4 linked regions of the Saccharomyces cerevisiae S288C genome follow. Changing the gene in region 1 together with any one later gene gives a genetic interaction. Each region holds a gene or a part of one and is shown on either strand. Other genes may lie near its edges. The genes, in order: NAM7, PAB1, LYS2 and LDB16.

Region 1 (5,041 bases):
TTTCTCTACCAATTATAATAAGTGTATGAGCTACAACCACTTAGATTAAAGGTAATACACATAAATAGAAAGGTTTGCGTAAAATATTTCAGTTTGAATAATTATCTCCTCAGTGGAATAAAAAACATCAAAGAATAGAAATAGTCGCTGTATTTTGATGATTGCTTCAGAAATTTTTGAAAGAGGTGTACAAGATCCATTTTGTCAAGATTGTGATTATGAAGATGAAACAGACGTACAAAGTTTTTTAGGTTCAAATGATTTGAATGATTTTGTAAATTCCAAATTAGCGTCCTTTAGTTTTCAAAATTCCTCGAAATCAAATAATTCTCACCACAGCAGCAGTACCAATGCCGGTAATACAAGCAGACACATAGGCAATCATACTATTGGCCACCATTTGAGAAAAATCAAGACAGCTCCGCATCACTTGTATGGCTTCGTCCCAGCAAATTCAACGAACAATTCCAATGAACCAATTCGCCCTTCTCCAAGAAGAATAAGAGCAAATAGTAGCACCCTCATTCACCAGTTGTCCAGACAATCCACAAGACAGTCTTCCTTGGGCGACGCGGCGGATTCCTGTTTTGACCACAAATGCATAAAGCCAAGATCCAGGCATTCTTCCTGTTACGGTATACCAACACATCTATACGGCCTTGAAAAATACGTTTCATCCGAGCTAGACTCTCTAGCAGTAGCTAACGACCAGTCAAATGATCTCACTTCCCCATTAACATCTGTTTCAACACCCGCCTCGAATTCCAACTCGTATTTGAATCTGAATTCAAGTTCGGCTGCATATCCGTCGTCTTATCTCTCCAACGAAAAGAATAATCGACTAAAATTGATTTCCCATGGGAAAATATCATCAAATAACGTCCCAGGTCACAGTGGAAACCTTAACCACTATCACAGAGAACGAACGCCATCAAATCTAAGAAGAGAATCCTTTTCGCTTCTTTCCAATGGTTCCTCTTCCTCTCCCTTGCAGACTAGAAACAACTCGTATTCCAACTCTTTGGTGAAATCTCCTTCCAATAGTTCATTGAATACTAGTGTGGCTTCTTCTAACGAAGAATCTAGTCCTCACACTTCTAATTGCCTGGAGGAAAGGAATCCCAGGAGAAAATCATTCATAAAATTGTCACTAGCGAGTTCATTCTCCAATTGAAAACGAAACATATGCATCTGGCGAACTCCGTAATTCGCCTAACTTTTAATGAATTCATGAACGGGAAATAAGAAAAACAAAAAGAAAATATACATAGTTAGTTACTATCCACTCAATAATATTAAACGAGTGAATGCTTTTACTTTTAACTTTAGTTTAATCTTAATTTACATTATTTTAGTATCATCAGTTTCCCTTTGCTTACTTGATTTGGGAGGGACACCTTTATACGCTTTCGTACTAACTGATCAAATGAAAAGCTTACCAGAAACTTACGATGCTATTGTGAAGGAGAAAAAAAAAGCGAAAAGAGGCATCGTTTTAACGCACACTAACAGAAGACTCTATTTCTCTTGTCAGCCAACAAACGTTGAAGATTTCATCAGGAAAGAAGGAAGGGCAGCAAGACCGAATATACTTTTTATATTACATCAATCATTGTCATTATCAAATGGTCGGTTCCGGTTCTCACACTCCTTATGATATATCAAACTCTCCATCTGATGTAAATGTCCAACCCGCAACACAACTAAATTCCACCTTGGTGGAGGATGACGATGTAGATAATCAGCTATTTGAAGAGGCTCAAGTCACTGAGACTGGATTCCGTTCGCCTTCAGCTTCAGACAATTCATGTGCGTATTGTGGTATAGATTCTGCAAAGTGTGTCATCAAATGTAATTCATGTAAGAAATGGTTTTGTAACACTAAAAACGGTACAAGCAGCTCCCACATTGTTAATCACTTAGTTTTATCCCACCATAACGTAGTTTCTTTACATCCAGATTCTGACTTAGGGGATACCGTTTTGGAATGTTATAACTGTGGACGTAAGAACGTGTTTTTATTGGGATTTGTTTCCGCTAAAAGTGAGGCCGTGGTTGTTTTACTTTGTAGAATACCTTGTGCCCAGACGAAAAATGCGAACTGGGATACTGATCAATGGCAACCATTAATTGAAGACAGACAACTTTTATCATGGGTCGCAGAGCAACCAACTGAAGAAGAAAAATTGAAAGCTCGTTTAATCACTCCTAGCCAAATTTCCAAGTTGGAGGCAAAATGGAGATCCAATAAAGACGCTACAATTAATGATATTGACGCCCCAGAGGAACAGGAAGCAATCCCACCTTTACTATTGAGATATCAAGACGCCTACGAATACCAAAGATCTTACGGGCCTTTAATCAAATTGGAGGCCGACTATGATAAACAACTCAAGGAATCTCAAGCTTTAGAACATATTTCTGTTTCATGGTCCTTAGCTTTAAATAATAGGCATTTAGCATCTTTCACTTTATCTACTTTCGAATCTAACGAGTTGAAAGTTGCCATCGGTGATGAAATGATACTATGGTACTCTGGCATGCAACATCCTGATTGGGAAGGTCGTGGTTACATTGTTCGGTTACCAAATAGCTTCCAGGACACATTCACATTAGAGTTAAAACCAAGTAAAACGCCACCTCCAACACATTTGACCACTGGTTTTACTGCTGAGTTCATCTGGAAAGGTACCTCTTATGACAGGATGCAAGACGCATTGAAAAAATTTGCCATTGATAAAAAATCTATTTCAGGTTATTTGTACTATAAAATTTTAGGCCATCAAGTGGTTGACATTTCATTTGATGTCCCATTACCTAAGGAGTTTTCAATTCCGAATTTTGCACAATTAAACTCATCCCAGTCGAACGCTGTTAGTCATGTATTACAACGTCCGTTATCTTTAATTCAAGGCCCACCAGGCACTGGTAAAACAGTTACTTCAGCAACGATTGTGTATCACCTTTCCAAAATACACAAGGATAGAATATTGGTGTGTGCCCCATCAAACGTTGCTGTAGATCATTTGGCTGCCAAATTACGTGACTTGGGTTTAAAAGTTGTTAGACTTACCGCGAAAAGTAGAGAAGATGTGGAGAGTTCCGTCTCCAACTTAGCATTGCATAATTTGGTTGGCCGTGGTGCTAAAGGGGAATTAAAAAACCTATTAAAGTTAAAGGATGAAGTTGGCGAATTATCTGCTTCTGATACAAAACGGTTTGTTAAATTAGTAAGGAAAACAGAAGCAGAAATTCTCAATAAGGCAGATGTCGTATGTTGCACATGTGTTGGTGCTGGTGATAAGCGCTTAGACACTAAATTTAGGACTGTGTTAATTGATGAAAGTACTCAAGCTTCTGAGCCGGAATGTTTAATCCCAATCGTTAAAGGTGCGAAACAAGTTATACTTGTTGGTGATCACCAGCAACTGGGCCCAGTCATATTGGAACGAAAGGCGGCAGACGCTGGTTTGAAACAATCTCTCTTTGAAAGATTAATCTCTCTAGGCCACGTACCGATTCGTTTGGAAGTTCAATACCGTATGAATCCTTATTTGAGTGAGTTTCCAAGTAACATGTTTTATGAAGGCAGCCTACAAAATGGTGTAACGATTGAACAGCGTACCGTTCCCAACAGCAAATTCCCATGGCCAATTCGCGGTATACCAATGATGTTTTGGGCCAATTACGGTAGAGAGGAGATTTCTGCTAACGGTACTTCCTTCTTAAACAGAATTGAAGCCATGAATTGTGAACGAATCATCACTAAACTTTTCAGAGACGGTGTCAAGCCCGAGCAAATTGGTGTTATCACACCATATGAGGGACAAAGAGCTTATATTTTACAATATATGCAAATGAATGGTTCATTGGATAAGGATTTGTATATCAAAGTGGAAGTTGCCTCAGTTGATGCATTCCAAGGTCGTGAAAAGGATTACATAATCTTATCGTGTGTTCGTGCCAATGAACAACAGGCCATTGGTTTCTTACGTGATCCTCGTCGTCTAAACGTGGGTCTAACCCGTGCCAAATATGGTCTAGTTATTCTTGGTAATCCTAGATCTTTGGCAAGAAACACATTATGGAACCATCTGTTAATCCACTTCAGAGAGAAGGGTTGTTTAGTCGAAGGTACGTTGGATAACTTACAGTTATGCACTGTTCAATTAGTTCGTCCTCAGCCAAGAAAGACTGAACGGCCAATGAACGCTCAATTTAACGTAGAATCTGAAATGGGTGACTTTCCGAAGTTCCAGGATTTTGATGCACAGAGTATGGTGTCATTCAGTGGTCAAATTGGGGACTTTGGTAATGCATTTGTTGACAACACAGAACTTTCTTCTTACATCAATAATGAATATTGGAATTTTGAGAATTTTAAAAGTGCTTTTTCTCAAAAGCAAAATCGCAATGAAATTGACGATAGAAATTTGTACCAGGAGGAGGCTTCTCATTTGAACTCTAACTTCGCGAGAGAGTTACAGAGAGAAGAACAAAAGCATGAATTGTCAAAAGACTTCAGCAATTTGGGAATATAATTCGGTGAACCCTGTTAAAATAAAATGTTAAACTTGGCTTGTGATACAAAACGGCTCAACCGTGAAATGAGCGCTGCAAAATTATTCGAGATAGACTCGCAATTTGCACAATTGTAACCTGAAAAACTTTTTTTACTTTTCCGGAGGTGCATCTATCATTACAGTATGTGATAAAGGGGCATGGACTTGATATCCTAGCCTACTAATCTCTTTGCTAAAACATGTTGCAACCAAATAGGGCTACCATTGTACTTCTAATGAATACTCTTTACGGCGCACTGCAATGCGTAATAAAGTTTTATTGTAGCGAGGTTTCATTTTTGCTTATGTTCTTTTTATTGTTTAATACGTGCATATGTATTCTATAAGATAAATGTATATAACTGCCAACAAAATAAACTAAAATCAAGGTATGGCTGTAGAAAATGATACCACAGATAATAAAATAATAAATAATCTAATAGCTGAGTGGAAGAAAAAAAAAAAATAAAAAAAGAGTA
Region 2 (3,918 bases), on another chromosome or scaffold:
TGAGTGTTTTTAATTGCGACCCTAAAAATCCACTTAAAACTGTCTGAGTTGCGTATTACGATGACCTTCGGTTATTAAAGGTCAAATTTCATAAAGTAAAAGCTAAGTGAGACTTTGCTCTGTGAAATTTTATCAGCTTTGTACCTCCAGTTAGTTGAATGCGGTGATGAATAGCAAGGTACCCTCACTTGATTTGTCAATTTTTTGTAAATTAGTATTTTCCTGGAACCTGTTGGTCTTTTTTCCGTGCTATTTTGTTTATTTTCCGCGAAAACTAACATTCTGCCGTTAATAATGAGACCTCAAAAAAACGCAACTAATAAACTCAGTAATGAAGTCTAATAATAGTAAAATGATACTTCTCTTGACAGTTAAAAACAAAAAACGTTTGCATTTTGTCAATAAGAGCGAGTATTTAGGTTACAAAGGATAATAACTAGTATTTAAGACAAAAAAAAAAGGGAAGGGAGAAAAAAAAGATGATAAGTTTGTTGAGTAGGGAAGTAGGTGATTACATAGAGCATTAAGCTTGCTCAGTTTGTTGTTCTTGCTCCTTTTTGAAAGACTCATAGGCAGCAGAAGCTTCTTTGTAGTGTTGTTCGAACAATTCATCACTTTCCAACAATGGGAAGACCTCTTGAGGTGGCAAATCCAAAATCATACCAGTAATTTTACCAGCTGCTTCTTCATTTGAAGTCTTAGCAGAAACCTTCTTGTATAATTGTTCACCCAAAGCTTGTCTTTGCTTTTGTTGATAAAATTGGTTGTTATCGTTGGCATTTCTTGGGAAACCACCTTGTGGGGGGACGCCGTAAACCGGACCATTTCTAAATTGAGGTGGCATGCCGTTCTTTGGCATACCGCCCATTGGGTTCATTTGTTGTGGGTTTGGACCGTTGAATGGAACACCTCTTGGTGGCATAACACCATAGAACATTGGAGGCATGAATTGACCTGGCATACCGGCAGCGGCGGCGGCAGCGGCAGCAGTAGCTTGCTGGTATCTCATTTGATTTCTGGCTTGGATTTGTTGAGCCAATTGAGAACGTCTTACGTCTTTTCTTTGAGCAATGGCAACGTATAATGGCTTACCAGCAACAATTTGTTGGTTCTTTTCTGTAATGGCCTTAGTAGCTTCCTCTGGAGTTGAGAAACAAACAAAACCAAAACCCTTAGACTTACCGTTTTCGGTTCTCATAACCTTTGCAGAAGTGATAGTACCATATGGAGCAAATTCTTCTTCCAACTTTTCGTCATCAACGCTGTCATCTAAGTTCTTAACAAACAAATTAACACCTTGGTACTTGGCCATTTTTTCCAATCTGTAAGCTTCGTATTGCTTCTTCAAGACATGCATACGTTCATTCTTCTTTTGGGCACGACCAACGTATAACTTTTCTCCATTTAGTTCAGAGTCATTCAAAGCTTCAACAGCTTTCACAGCGTCTTCATGCTTTTCGTAGTTAACAAACCCGAAACCCTTCAATTTTCCATCAGCATCCTTTTCCAAAGAGGCAGAAACAATTGGACCAAATTTGGCAAACAATTCTTGGAATTGTTCGTCAGTAGTTTCGGAGTTGATGTTTTTCACATAAAGGTTAGTGTAATGTGCCTTAGTCTCTTCCAATTGAGAGTCACGTTCCTTTCTGGACAAGTGAGGAGCAACATAAATTTCTTGACCGTTCAACAGCATACCATTCAAAGCATCAATAGCTTCCTTGGCAGCACCTTCTTCTTCGAAGTGAACAAACCCAAAACCCTTGGATTTTCCGTTTTCGTCGGTGGCAATCTTGCTGGACAAGATGTCACCAAACACAGAGAAAGTGTCATACAAAGCCTTGTTGTCAATATCAGGGTGCAAGTTCTTGATAAAGATGTTACCAGAACCCTTCTTTCTCAATGATGGGTCACGTTGAGACCACATAATACGGCATAATCTACCCTTGATTGGAGTGTAGTTCAATTGCTCAATTGCTTTTCTGCCGGCTTCATGGTCGTTAAAGTTAACATAAGCATAGCCCAAAGAGGTCTTAGTGATGGCATCACGACAGACACGAATGGAGGAGACTGAACCGATTGGAGAGAAGATATCATATAAGTGGGCTTCGGAAACAGAAGGTTCTAAGTCACCAACATATAATGATGCAGAAGAGTTTTCAACAGATTGGCTTTCTGAACCAGTGGCGGCTTGCTTTTGGTCATCTTGAATATTCAAGTTTTCCAATTGTTCAGCTGTCTTATCAGTAATATCAGCCATTTTATTTTTATTGGTTTTTTAGTTTTTTTTGGATTTTTTTTTTTGAGTTTTTATTGAATAAAAAGCCAGATATTAGGTGGTGGTACCAGGGCCTGCTCTATGCTTCAAACGGTTATTAAGTAAAAATGTTACTTCGTAGCTCACTGTCCTAAAAATACAAAATCAAAACTAAAGAATTTTACACAAGAAAGAAGAGATATAAAATACAAGATGACACTTTCTATTAAGTAAAACAGAAACCTCTTTCCTTGGAACTGGAGCGAAAGAGAACAATTGTCCCAGAACTTGCGATGGTGATGGCAAAAAGCGCAAAAAAAATTTTCTTTGTAAAAAGGAAAGAGAAAAAAAAAAAGAAATAATCTTCGATTAACAGTTTTCGTTAAACATGATTGATCTATCTGCTTTGTGGCTTCATACAGTATGACCTCTTATATGGTCATAGTAGTAACTAATTAAGCATTATTACTTTACGGTGCCCTATAGTACACACACTTACACGCAAATATATATACATAAATACGTTTATAGTTATGGGGGGAAGGAACAATGGAAAATGTGGTGAAGAAAAATTGTTTCACTTCTTTTGAGACTCTGTTATCTTGTCGTACATTGCCATCAGCTTTGTACTCTTAACGTCGGCAGGCCAAAAGTTGGCACTGTAAGACCAAAGGTGCTTGCGATATTTTTCTGGGCTTGCCTTTCTCGATGAGCCCTTTTGCGATTCGATATGATTACCAATCGTAGTTAATTCGGTCTTCAAAATTTTGGCCCATTCCTTACGATCAAGACTTTTGCCGCCTCTTCTAAGTCGCTTCAAAGAAGTACGTATTGCACTCATTGTGTGTCGACAGTCTTCTTCATCCATGCTGTCATATTCTTTTTCGTGAGCGCTGCCGCTACTGGGGTTGCTTGATTGCCTTGTACCATTATCTCTGGAAACCTTGGACTTTAATGGGGGCGTGGGGCTGTTTGGAGACAATCTCGTGTTATTTATTAAGGCGGCAGGACCTTTTGGGAGGGCTTTCATACGTTTGCTTGGCGGGCCATTTGCAGGCTCAGAACTTGTAATTTCTGGAGTCATGGATTTGCTGTGATTAGCAGGTTTTCTTTGTCTCTTTTTGGAAGGACCAGTAGGGAGTTTTTTCGAGCCTATGTCAGCACTGGGACTCTTTGTATTTAGGCCTCCTCTTAAGAAGGATAATAGATAATCAACTCTTCTGCCCAAGTGAATGGCACCAGGTACTTTTTTTGAAGAACCCGTTATTCCCTTTCCTTTCTTTGAGGGTGTTGGTGTTGTATCAGAGGAGCTTGCCGACTTTTTTGCTACCGGATTGTGAACTTCATTCAAGAATATTTTATCAGTAATGCCTAGAAATGGATCGTCTCTTATTTGTGTCCAGGAACCATATCCATATTTGAAAACACCAATCAATAGCTTCTCATCTTCCTCTTTCGTCCAATTAGATGACCAATTCTGTACAGGCTTAGGTGTGTTGTTGCCTAGGCTAAACTTTAATGGATCATCTTTGTAGTTTGAATTTATCAAGTTCTTCAAGTACTTTAAATCCTCCACTCTACTTAGTAAAGATTCGGCGTTTAAAGATTTAACACCTTTAAAGTTGAAAAGGACGGCTTTCTTTTCTCTTTTTTTTAAAGATAAT
Region 3 (6,551 bases), on another chromosome or scaffold:
AGCCAACCATAATCAAGGTAACTACTACAATTGGATTTGGGTCCCTACAACAGGGTACTGCTGGTGTTCATGGGTCCGCTTTGAAGGCAGATGATGTTAAACAGTTGAAGAAGAGGTGGGGGTTTGACCCAAATAAATCATTTGTAGTACCTCAAGAGGTGTACGATTATTATAAGAAGACTGTTGTGGAACCCGGTCAAAAACTTAATGAGGAATGGGATAGGATGTTTGAAGAATACAAAACCAAATTTCCCGAGAAGGGTAAAGAATTGCAAAGAAGATTGAATGGTGAGTTACCGGAAGGTTGGGAAAAGCATTTACCGAAGTTTACTCCGGACGACGATGCTCTGGCAACAAGAAAGACATCCCAGCAGGTGCTGACGAACATGGTCCAAGTTTTGCCTGAATTGATCGGTGGTTCTGCCGATTTGACACCTTCGAATCTGACAAGGTGGGAAGGCGCGGTAGATTTCCAACCTCCCATTACCCAACTAGGTAACTATGCAGGAAGGTACATTAGATACGGTGTGAGGGAACACGGAATGGGTGCCATTATGAACGGTATCTCTGCCTTTGGTGCAAACTACAAGCCTTACGGTGGTACCTTTTTGAACTTCGTCTCTTATGCTGCAGGAGCCGTTAGGTTAGCCGCCTTGTCTGGTAATCCAGTCATTTGGGTTGCAACACATGACTCTATCGGGCTTGGTGAGGATGGTCCAACGCACCAACCTATTGAAACTCTGGCTCACTTGAGGGCTATTCCAAACATGCATGTATGGAGACCTGCTGATGGTAACGAAACTTCTGCTGCGTATTATTCTGCTATCAAATCTGGTCGAACACCATCTGTTGTGGCTTTATCACGACAGAATCTTCCTCAATTGGAGCATTCCTCTTTTGAAAAAGCCTTGAAGGGTGGCTATGTGATCCATGACGTGGAGAATCCTGATATTATCCTGGTGTCAACAGGATCAGAAGTCTCCATTTCTATAGATGCAGCCAAAAAATTGTACGATACTAAAAAAATCAAAGCAAGAGTTGTTTCCCTGCCAGACTTTTATACTTTTGACAGGCAAAGTGAAGAATACAGATTCTCTGTTCTACCAGACGGTGTTCCGATCATGTCCTTTGAAGTATTGGCTACTTCAAGCTGGGGTAAGTATGCTCATCAATCGTTCGGACTCGACGAATTTGGTCGTTCAGGCAAGGGGCCTGAAATTTACAAATTGTTCGATTTCACAGCGGACGGTGTTGCGTCAAGGGCTGAAAAGACAATCAATTACTACAAAGGAAAGCAGTTGCTTTCTCCTATGGGAAGAGCTTTCTAAGTCTGAAGAAGTAAACAGTTCTTTGCTATTTCACACTTCCTGGTTGATGGTCACTTGCTGCCTGAAATATATATATATGTATGACATATGTACTTGTTTTCTTTTTTGTGCCTTTGTTACGTCTATATTCATTGAAACTGATTATTCGATTTTCTTCTTGCTGACCGCTTCTAGAGGCATCGCACAGTTTTAGCGAGGAAAACTCTTCAATAGTTTTGCCAGCGGAATTCCACTTGCAATTACATAAAAAATTCCGGCGGTTTTTCGCGTGTGACTCAATGTCGAAATACCTGCCTAATGAACATGAACATCGCCCAAATGTATTTGAAGACCCGCTGGGAGAAGTTCAAGATATATAAGTAACAAGCAGCCAATAGTATAAAAAAAAATCTGAGTTTATTACCTTTCCTGGAATTTCAGTGAAAAACTGCTAATTATAGAGAGATATCACAGAGTTACTCACTAATGACTAACGAAAAGGTCTGGATAGAGAAGTTGGATAATCCAACTCTTTCAGTGTTACCACATGACTTTTTACGCCCACAACAAGAACCTTATACGAAACAAGCTACATATTCGTTACAGCTACCTCAGCTCGATGTGCCTCATGATAGTTTTTCTAACAAATACGCTGTCGCTTTGAGTGTATGGGCTGCATTGATATATAGAGTAACCGGTGACGATGATATTGTTCTTTATATTGCGAATAACAAAATCTTAAGATTCAATATTCAACCAACGTGGTCATTTAATGAGCTGTATTCTACAATTAACAATGAGTTGAACAAGCTCAATTCTATTGAGGCCAATTTTTCCTTTGACGAGCTAGCTGAAAAAATTCAAAGTTGCCAAGATCTGGAAAGGACCCCTCAGTTGTTCCGTTTGGCCTTTTTGGAAAACCAAGATTTCAAATTAGACGAGTTCAAGCATCATTTAGTGGACTTTGCTTTGAATTTGGATACCAGTAATAATGCGCATGTTTTGAACTTAATTTATAACAGCTTACTGTATTCGAATGAAAGAGTAACCATTGTTGCGGACCAATTTACTCAATATTTGACTGCTGCGCTAAGCGATCCATCCAATTGCATAACTAAAATCTCTCTGATCACCGCATCATCCAAGGATAGTTTACCTGATCCAACTAAGAACTTGGGCTGGTGCGATTTCGTGGGGTGTATTCACGACATTTTCCAGGACAATGCTGAAGCCTTCCCAGAGAGAACCTGTGTTGTGGAGACTCCAACACTAAATTCCGACAAGTCCCGTTCTTTCACTTATCGCGACATCAACCGCACTTCTAACATAGTTGCCCATTATTTGATTAAAACAGGTATCAAAAGAGGTGATGTAGTGATGATCTATTCTTCTAGGGGTGTGGATTTGATGGTATGTGTGATGGGTGTCTTGAAAGCCGGCGCAACCTTTTCAGTTATCGACCCTGCATATCCCCCAGCCAGACAAACCATTTACTTAGGTGTTGCTAAACCACGTGGGTTGATTGTTATTAGAGCTGCTGGACAATTGGATCAACTAGTAGAAGATTACATCAATGATGAATTGGAGATTGTTTCAAGAATCAATTCCATCGCTATTCAAGAAAATGGTACCATTGAAGGTGGCAAATTGGACAATGGCGAGGATGTTTTGGCTCCATATGATCACTACAAAGACACCAGAACAGGTGTTGTAGTTGGACCAGATTCCAACCCAACCCTATCTTTCACATCTGGTTCCGAAGGTATTCCTAAGGGTGTTCTTGGTAGACATTTTTCCTTGGCTTATTATTTCAATTGGATGTCCAAAAGGTTCAACTTAACAGAAAATGATAAATTCACAATGCTGAGCGGTATTGCACATGATCCAATTCAAAGAGATATGTTTACACCATTATTTTTAGGTGCCCAATTGTATGTCCCTACTCAAGATGATATTGGTACACCGGGCCGTTTAGCGGAATGGATGAGTAAGTATGGTTGCACAGTTACCCATTTAACACCTGCCATGGGTCAATTACTTACTGCCCAAGCTACTACACCATTCCCTAAGTTACATCATGCGTTCTTTGTGGGTGACATTTTAACAAAACGTGATTGTCTGAGGTTACAAACCTTGGCAGAAAATTGCCGTATTGTTAATATGTACGGTACCACTGAAACACAGCGTGCAGTTTCTTATTTCGAAGTTAAATCAAAAAATGACGATCCAAACTTTTTGAAAAAATTGAAAGATGTCATGCCTGCTGGTAAAGGTATGTTGAACGTTCAGCTACTAGTTGTTAACAGGAACGATCGTACTCAAATATGTGGTATTGGCGAAATAGGTGAGATTTATGTTCGTGCAGGTGGTTTGGCCGAAGGTTATAGAGGATTACCAGAATTGAATAAAGAAAAATTTGTGAACAACTGGTTTGTTGAAAAAGATCACTGGAATTATTTGGATAAGGATAATGGTGAACCTTGGAGACAATTCTGGTTAGGTCCAAGAGATAGATTGTACAGAACGGGTGATTTAGGTCGTTATCTACCAAACGGTGACTGTGAATGTTGCGGTAGGGCTGATGATCAAGTTAAAATTCGTGGGTTCAGAATCGAATTAGGAGAAATAGATACGCACATTTCCCAACATCCATTGGTAAGAGAAAACATTACTTTAGTTCGCAAAAATGCCGACAATGAGCCAACATTGATCACATTTATGGTCCCAAGATTTGACAAGCCAGATGACTTGTCTAAGTTCCAAAGTGATGTTCCAAAGGAGGTTGAAACTGACCCTATAGTTAAGGGCTTAATCGGTTACCATCTTTTATCCAAGGACATCAGGACTTTCTTAAAGAAAAGATTGGCTAGCTATGCTATGCCTTCCTTGATTGTGGTTATGGATAAACTACCATTGAATCCAAATGGTAAAGTTGATAAGCCTAAACTTCAATTCCCAACTCCCAAGCAATTAAATTTGGTAGCTGAAAATACAGTTTCTGAAACTGACGACTCTCAGTTTACCAATGTTGAGCGCGAGGTTAGAGACTTATGGTTAAGTATATTACCTACCAAGCCAGCATCTGTATCACCAGATGATTCGTTTTTCGATTTAGGTGGTCATTCTATCTTGGCTACCAAAATGATTTTTACCTTAAAGAAAAAGCTGCAAGTTGATTTACCATTGGGCACAATTTTCAAGTATCCAACGATAAAGGCCTTTGCCGCGGAAATTGACAGAATTAAATCATCGGGTGGATCATCTCAAGGTGAGGTCGTCGAAAATGTCACTGCAAATTATGCGGAAGACGCCAAGAAATTGGTTGAGACGCTACCAAGTTCGTACCCCTCTCGAGAATATTTTGTTGAACCTAATAGTGCCGAAGGAAAAACAACAATTAATGTGTTTGTTACCGGTGTCACAGGATTTCTGGGCTCCTACATCCTTGCAGATTTGTTAGGACGTTCTCCAAAGAACTACAGTTTCAAAGTGTTTGCCCACGTCAGGGCCAAGGATGAAGAAGCTGCATTTGCAAGATTACAAAAGGCAGGTATCACCTATGGTACTTGGAACGAAAAATTTGCCTCAAATATTAAAGTTGTATTAGGCGATTTATCTAAAAGCCAATTTGGTCTTTCAGATGAGAAGTGGATGGATTTGGCAAACACAGTTGATATAATTATCCATAATGGTGCGTTAGTTCACTGGGTTTATCCATATGCCAAATTGAGGGATCCAAATGTTATTTCAACTATCAATGTTATGAGCTTAGCCGCCGTCGGCAAGCCAAAGTTCTTTGACTTTGTTTCCTCCACTTCTACTCTTGACACTGAATACTACTTTAATTTGTCAGATAAACTTGTTAGCGAAGGGAAGCCAGGCATTTTAGAATCAGACGATTTAATGAACTCTGCAAGCGGGCTCACTGGTGGATATGGTCAGTCCAAATGGGCTGCTGAGTACATCATTAGACGTGCAGGTGAAAGGGGCCTACGTGGGTGTATTGTCAGACCAGGTTACGTAACAGGTGCCTCTGCCAATGGTTCTTCAAACACAGATGATTTCTTATTGAGATTTTTGAAAGGTTCAGTCCAATTAGGTAAGATTCCAGATATCGAAAATTCCGTGAATATGGTTCCAGTAGATCATGTTGCTCGTGTTGTTGTTGCTACGTCTTTGAATCCTCCCAAAGAAAATGAATTGGCCGTTGCTCAAGTAACGGGTCACCCAAGAATATTATTCAAAGACTACTTGTATACTTTACACGATTATGGTTACGATGTCGAAATCGAAAGCTATTCTAAATGGAAGAAATCATTGGAGGCGTCTGTTATTGACAGGAATGAAGAAAATGCGTTGTATCCTTTGCTACACATGGTCTTAGACAACTTACCTGAAAGTACCAAAGCTCCGGAACTAGACGATAGGAACGCCGTGGCATCTTTAAAGAAAGACACCGCATGGACAGGTGTTGATTGGTCTAATGGAATAGGTGTTACTCCAGAAGAGGTTGGTATATATATTGCATTTTTAAACAAGGTTGGATTTTTACCTCCACCAACTCATAATGACAAACTTCCACTGCCAAGTATAGAACTAACTCAAGCGCAAATAAGTCTAGTTGCTTCAGGTGCTGGTGCTCGTGGAAGCTCCGCAGCAGCTTAAGGTTGAGCATTACGTATGATATGTCCATGTACAATAATTAAATATGAATTAGGAGAAAGACTTAGCTTCTTTTCGGGTGATGTCACTTAAAAACTCCGAGAATAATATATAATAAGAGAATAAAATATTAGTTATTGAATAAGAACTGTAAATCAGCTGGCGTTAGTCTGCTAATGGCAGCTTCATCTTGGTTTATTGTAGCATGAATCATATTTGCCTTTTTTTCCTGTAATTCAATGATTCTTGCTTCTATACTATCCTCAATGCAAAACCTTGTGATCTTCACAGGTCGATACTGACCAATTCTATGAACTCTATCACCACTTTGCCATTCAACACTAGGGTTCCACCATGGGTCTAAAATGAATACTTGCGAAGCTTCACAAAGATTCAAAGCAACACCGCCCGCCTTTAAACTGACCAAGAAAACCTCGCATTGAATGTTGTTCATGAAATACTTGATGGTTTCATCTCTTTGCGTCGGTGACATACTACCCTGAAGCTTCACTGTTTGAAATCCAGCTCTTTTCAATCTCCACTCTACCAGATCCAGCATACTGGTAAACTGGGAAAACACAA
Region 4 (2,863 bases), on another chromosome or scaffold:
TGGGCAAGGAACTACTGATGGTGTTCATGTCGAAATTTTCCAAGTTTATACTTATAAAGGGAGGTTTTACCGGGTACATACTGGGTACCCACATGATCACAGGAATACTGTGAGGAGATGAACCATCCTCACCAGTACTAATGGTACCATATATGGACAACAGTAGTTGTGGAGTGCCGTCAGAGTGCGTAAATACCCTTGTTCTTGGCCTTAAACTGTGAAAATTGTCCAGCAGCGCTAAAGAATCGTGGAAAGTTGTTCTTCCGTCGTTATAAATGGGTTGAATGACTTTGAACAGCCAATTGACCACCGCCTCGGGAACAGAGATCTTGCCGTTTGCAGACATCGTTGCTCTTCACTCTCTCTCTTTTCTTGGCCGTTAAGATACCAACTGCCCACAAAATTTTGCCGTAACTTTTTATTCTCGCTCTGTGAAAAAAGACTACTACATTTTTTGACCTTTTATCTATACTTTAAGAAACAAAGGTCCAACGAATAATAAAGAACAAAGAGTAATGAGTAGTTTGTATGTGTCATAATCTCTTCTCTCCGCTTCCCTTTTCTTCCTTCTTCTTCTACTAACTCTCTGCGCGTCCAATTTAGCTATACTGTTGTTGGTGTATTCATAGTGGTTAGTGCCATGTCCGTGCTGTTCTGGATAATGGCTCCAAAGAACAACCAAGCGTATGTGCAACATTTTTTTTACGATGTGTCTCCATATTACTAGTTTCCCTTTCTTTTTTACTAACAAGAGTTTGTTTGTTTTGTTTTGTCGTACAGTGTTTGGAGAAGTACAGTGATTTTGACATTGGCCATGATGTTTTTGATGTGGGCCATTACGTTCCTTTGCCAGCTCCATCCCTTGGTGGCTCCACGCCGTTCAGATTTGAGACCTGAATTTGCAGAATAAAGCGTCGAGTATATCAAGCCAAGTGACGTTTCCTGAGTATAAGAAAAATAAGCAAAATAAGTATACATAAAAATAAATACGAATAGAAATATAGTGGCATCTAAACAACCCAGAGATTTTTTGAAAAACACAATGAGTATATACTGATAGACAACCACACGGTCTTTGAAACGAGACGCCGTCTACGGTTGTATCAAAATGTGTAAACGGGCCATTTCAAAGCTTGATCTTCTCCATAATTAGAACCCATGTCCCGTGGAAGCGTTTTAAAAGACATGAGGCAGAAACAGGAGTGTGATATCCTTGCATGCGCAAGTTGGTAATACACTGCACAAAACACGCGTGTGCACATACACTTATGTGGTTCACCGTGCCGCTGCTGTGTTTATCTGTTGCTCGACATGTGCTGCTAATGATTATGTTGGAATAGACAAACAATTTAAAGTAATTTCTTCTTTTTTTATAGTGAGAAATCTCAAAAGAAAAAAAAAAAAATAAAAAAAACTAAAGAGCTGCCGGGTGAGCAACGACTAAAAGAAGAAACCATTTAGGGCTTCATCAGCAACTGTAGGAGGAGAAAGCAGGTATATAACTAGCCGCAATATGTTTGTGGTGGATTGGAGCGTGCAGCTATGCATGGGAGTGATTTCACCTCTCTTCCGTGCCCTCGTGCAACTGCCTTTATCAATTTTCGTATGGAATGGGTTTCAGCTTGTGGCATTGCCTATCAACATCCCATTGAGGTTGTTCCTGGGGACGTCGCTGAGCCGTTTAGTTGCACAAACAAGCACATTAGACTTCTATGTGGTTTTGACGTTGTTTCAATATTTTGCTGTGCTTTGTGCTTTTGGCAGCATCATAGGACTCATCTTTGGATTTATATTGGGTGTGTTCCACTCAATCTGCGGGGTACCCAGTGTATACATAAGTCTAGAATGGAAACGGTGGTTTGCTCCGATACGTACGGTCCTTGAACGTGCTTCCACTAGTATTGTCAACATTATGCGAGGACAAACTATTGCGCCAATACCCATGCCTAAGCCCAATCCCACGCATATATCAAAGCCTAACATGAAAAAATTCCATGATGAGCCTGGAGCTGATGATATGACTATAACGCATGATGTGAACTGCTACATCACCCCTTGCCAAACGCCTACTAACGAAAAAATTCAGCATTATAATAATGATTCATTCAACACGACCACCACAGACGATGAACCCACTGATATTTGGGATAGGTCTGACACTTACCAAAACTCATTCGTCACCAATGAAACTTTGATGTCTCTTTCTAATAGAGCTAAGCTTCGAAGAAATGCCAGTGATGCGGACATCGTTAATATAAAGATTTTACGAAGGAATTCTAGGTGATATTGCAATTACTTCTTCTCATGCACTAACAAGTGAATGATAGAAATATGTTGAGTTCCTAACTGCCTGATTTTAAATAAGTTTCATATTATAATCTTTTAGCATATATATATATATATTGATCCTCTCTCTTCTTTATTTTCTGCCAGTAACCCATGTGTGAAGAAGAAAACATAAATAAAAAAGCAGTAGCACATGGACACATTCACGCCCGAACACTCCTAAAAAGCAGCCCACACAAGAAAGTAGATATAATGTAGGACACCCAGCTTGTCCATAATTGCTAATAGCATACTCAGGATAACATATATTAATGACGACTCGTTTGCTCCAACTCACTCGTCCTCATTACAGATTATTATCCCTACCTCTCCAGAAACCCTTCAATATAAAAAGGCAGATGTCCGCTGCGAACCCTTCTCCATTTGGCAATTATTTGAACACGATCACTAAGTCCCTACAACAGAATTTACAAACATGCTTTCATTTCCAAGCAAAAGAAATCGATATAATCGAATCTCCATCTCAGTTTTACGATCTCTTGAAGACAAAAATACTTAATTCACAAAATAGAATATT

The links.
Region 2: mutations in NAM7 (region 1) and PAB1 together harm fitness less than expected from each alone (positive genetic interaction), as found in Saccharomyces cerevisiae (2 studies listed by BioGRID).
Region 3: of NAM7 (region 1) and LYS2, a mutation in one rescues a mutant of the other (synthetic rescue), as found in Saccharomyces cerevisiae (one study listed by BioGRID).
Region 4: mutations in NAM7 (region 1) and LDB16 together harm fitness less than expected from each alone (positive genetic interaction), as found in Saccharomyces cerevisiae (one large-scale study listed by BioGRID).

The regions. Positions count from the first base shown.
Region 1 is NC_001145.3:426,212-431,252, reverse strand, and holds NAM7 (ATP-dependent RNA helicase NAM7), read left to right. Parts: upstream 1-1,625; coding exon 1,626-4,541; downstream 4,542-5,041. Other genes in the region: ISF1 (Isf1p), read left to right, coding at 158-1,174. UniProt on the Saccharomyces cerevisiae protein: RNA-dependent helicase required for nonsense-mediated decay (NMD) of aberrant mRNAs containing premature stop codons and modulates the expression level of normal mRNAs. Also capable of unwinding double-stranded DNA and translocating on single-stranded DNA.
Region 2 is NC_001137.3:508,712-512,629, reverse strand, and holds PAB1 (polyadenylate-binding protein), read right to left. Parts: upstream 2,258-3,918; coding exon 524-2,257; downstream 1-523. Other genes in the region: chromatin-remodeling ATPase CHD1, read right to left, coding at 2,832-3,918. UniProt on the Saccharomyces cerevisiae protein: Binds the poly(A) tail of mRNA. Appears to be an important mediator of the multiple roles of the poly(A) tail in mRNA biogenesis, stability and translation.
Region 3 is NC_001134.8:469,169-475,719, reverse strand, and holds LYS2 (L-aminoadipate-semialdehyde dehydrogenase), read left to right. Parts: upstream 1-1,793; coding exon 1,794-5,972; downstream 5,973-6,551. Other genes in the region: transketolase TKL2, read left to right, coding at 1-1,328; DNA repair protein RAD16, read right to left, coding at 6,100-6,551. UniProt on the Saccharomyces cerevisiae protein: Catalyzes the activation of alpha-aminoadipate by ATP-dependent adenylation and the reduction of activated alpha-aminoadipate by NADPH.
Region 4 is NC_001135.5:106,508-109,370, forward strand, and holds LDB16 (Ldb16p), read left to right. Parts: upstream 1-1,513; coding exon 1,514-2,284; downstream 2,285-2,863. Other genes in the region: ubiquitin-binding ESCRT-I subunit protein STP22, read right to left, coding at 1-346; VMA9 (H(+)-transporting V0 sector ATPase subunit e), read left to right, coding at 516-526, 604-684, 781-910; PGS1 (CDP-diacylglycerol--glycerol-3-phosphate 3-phosphatidyltransferase), read left to right, coding at 2,598-2,863.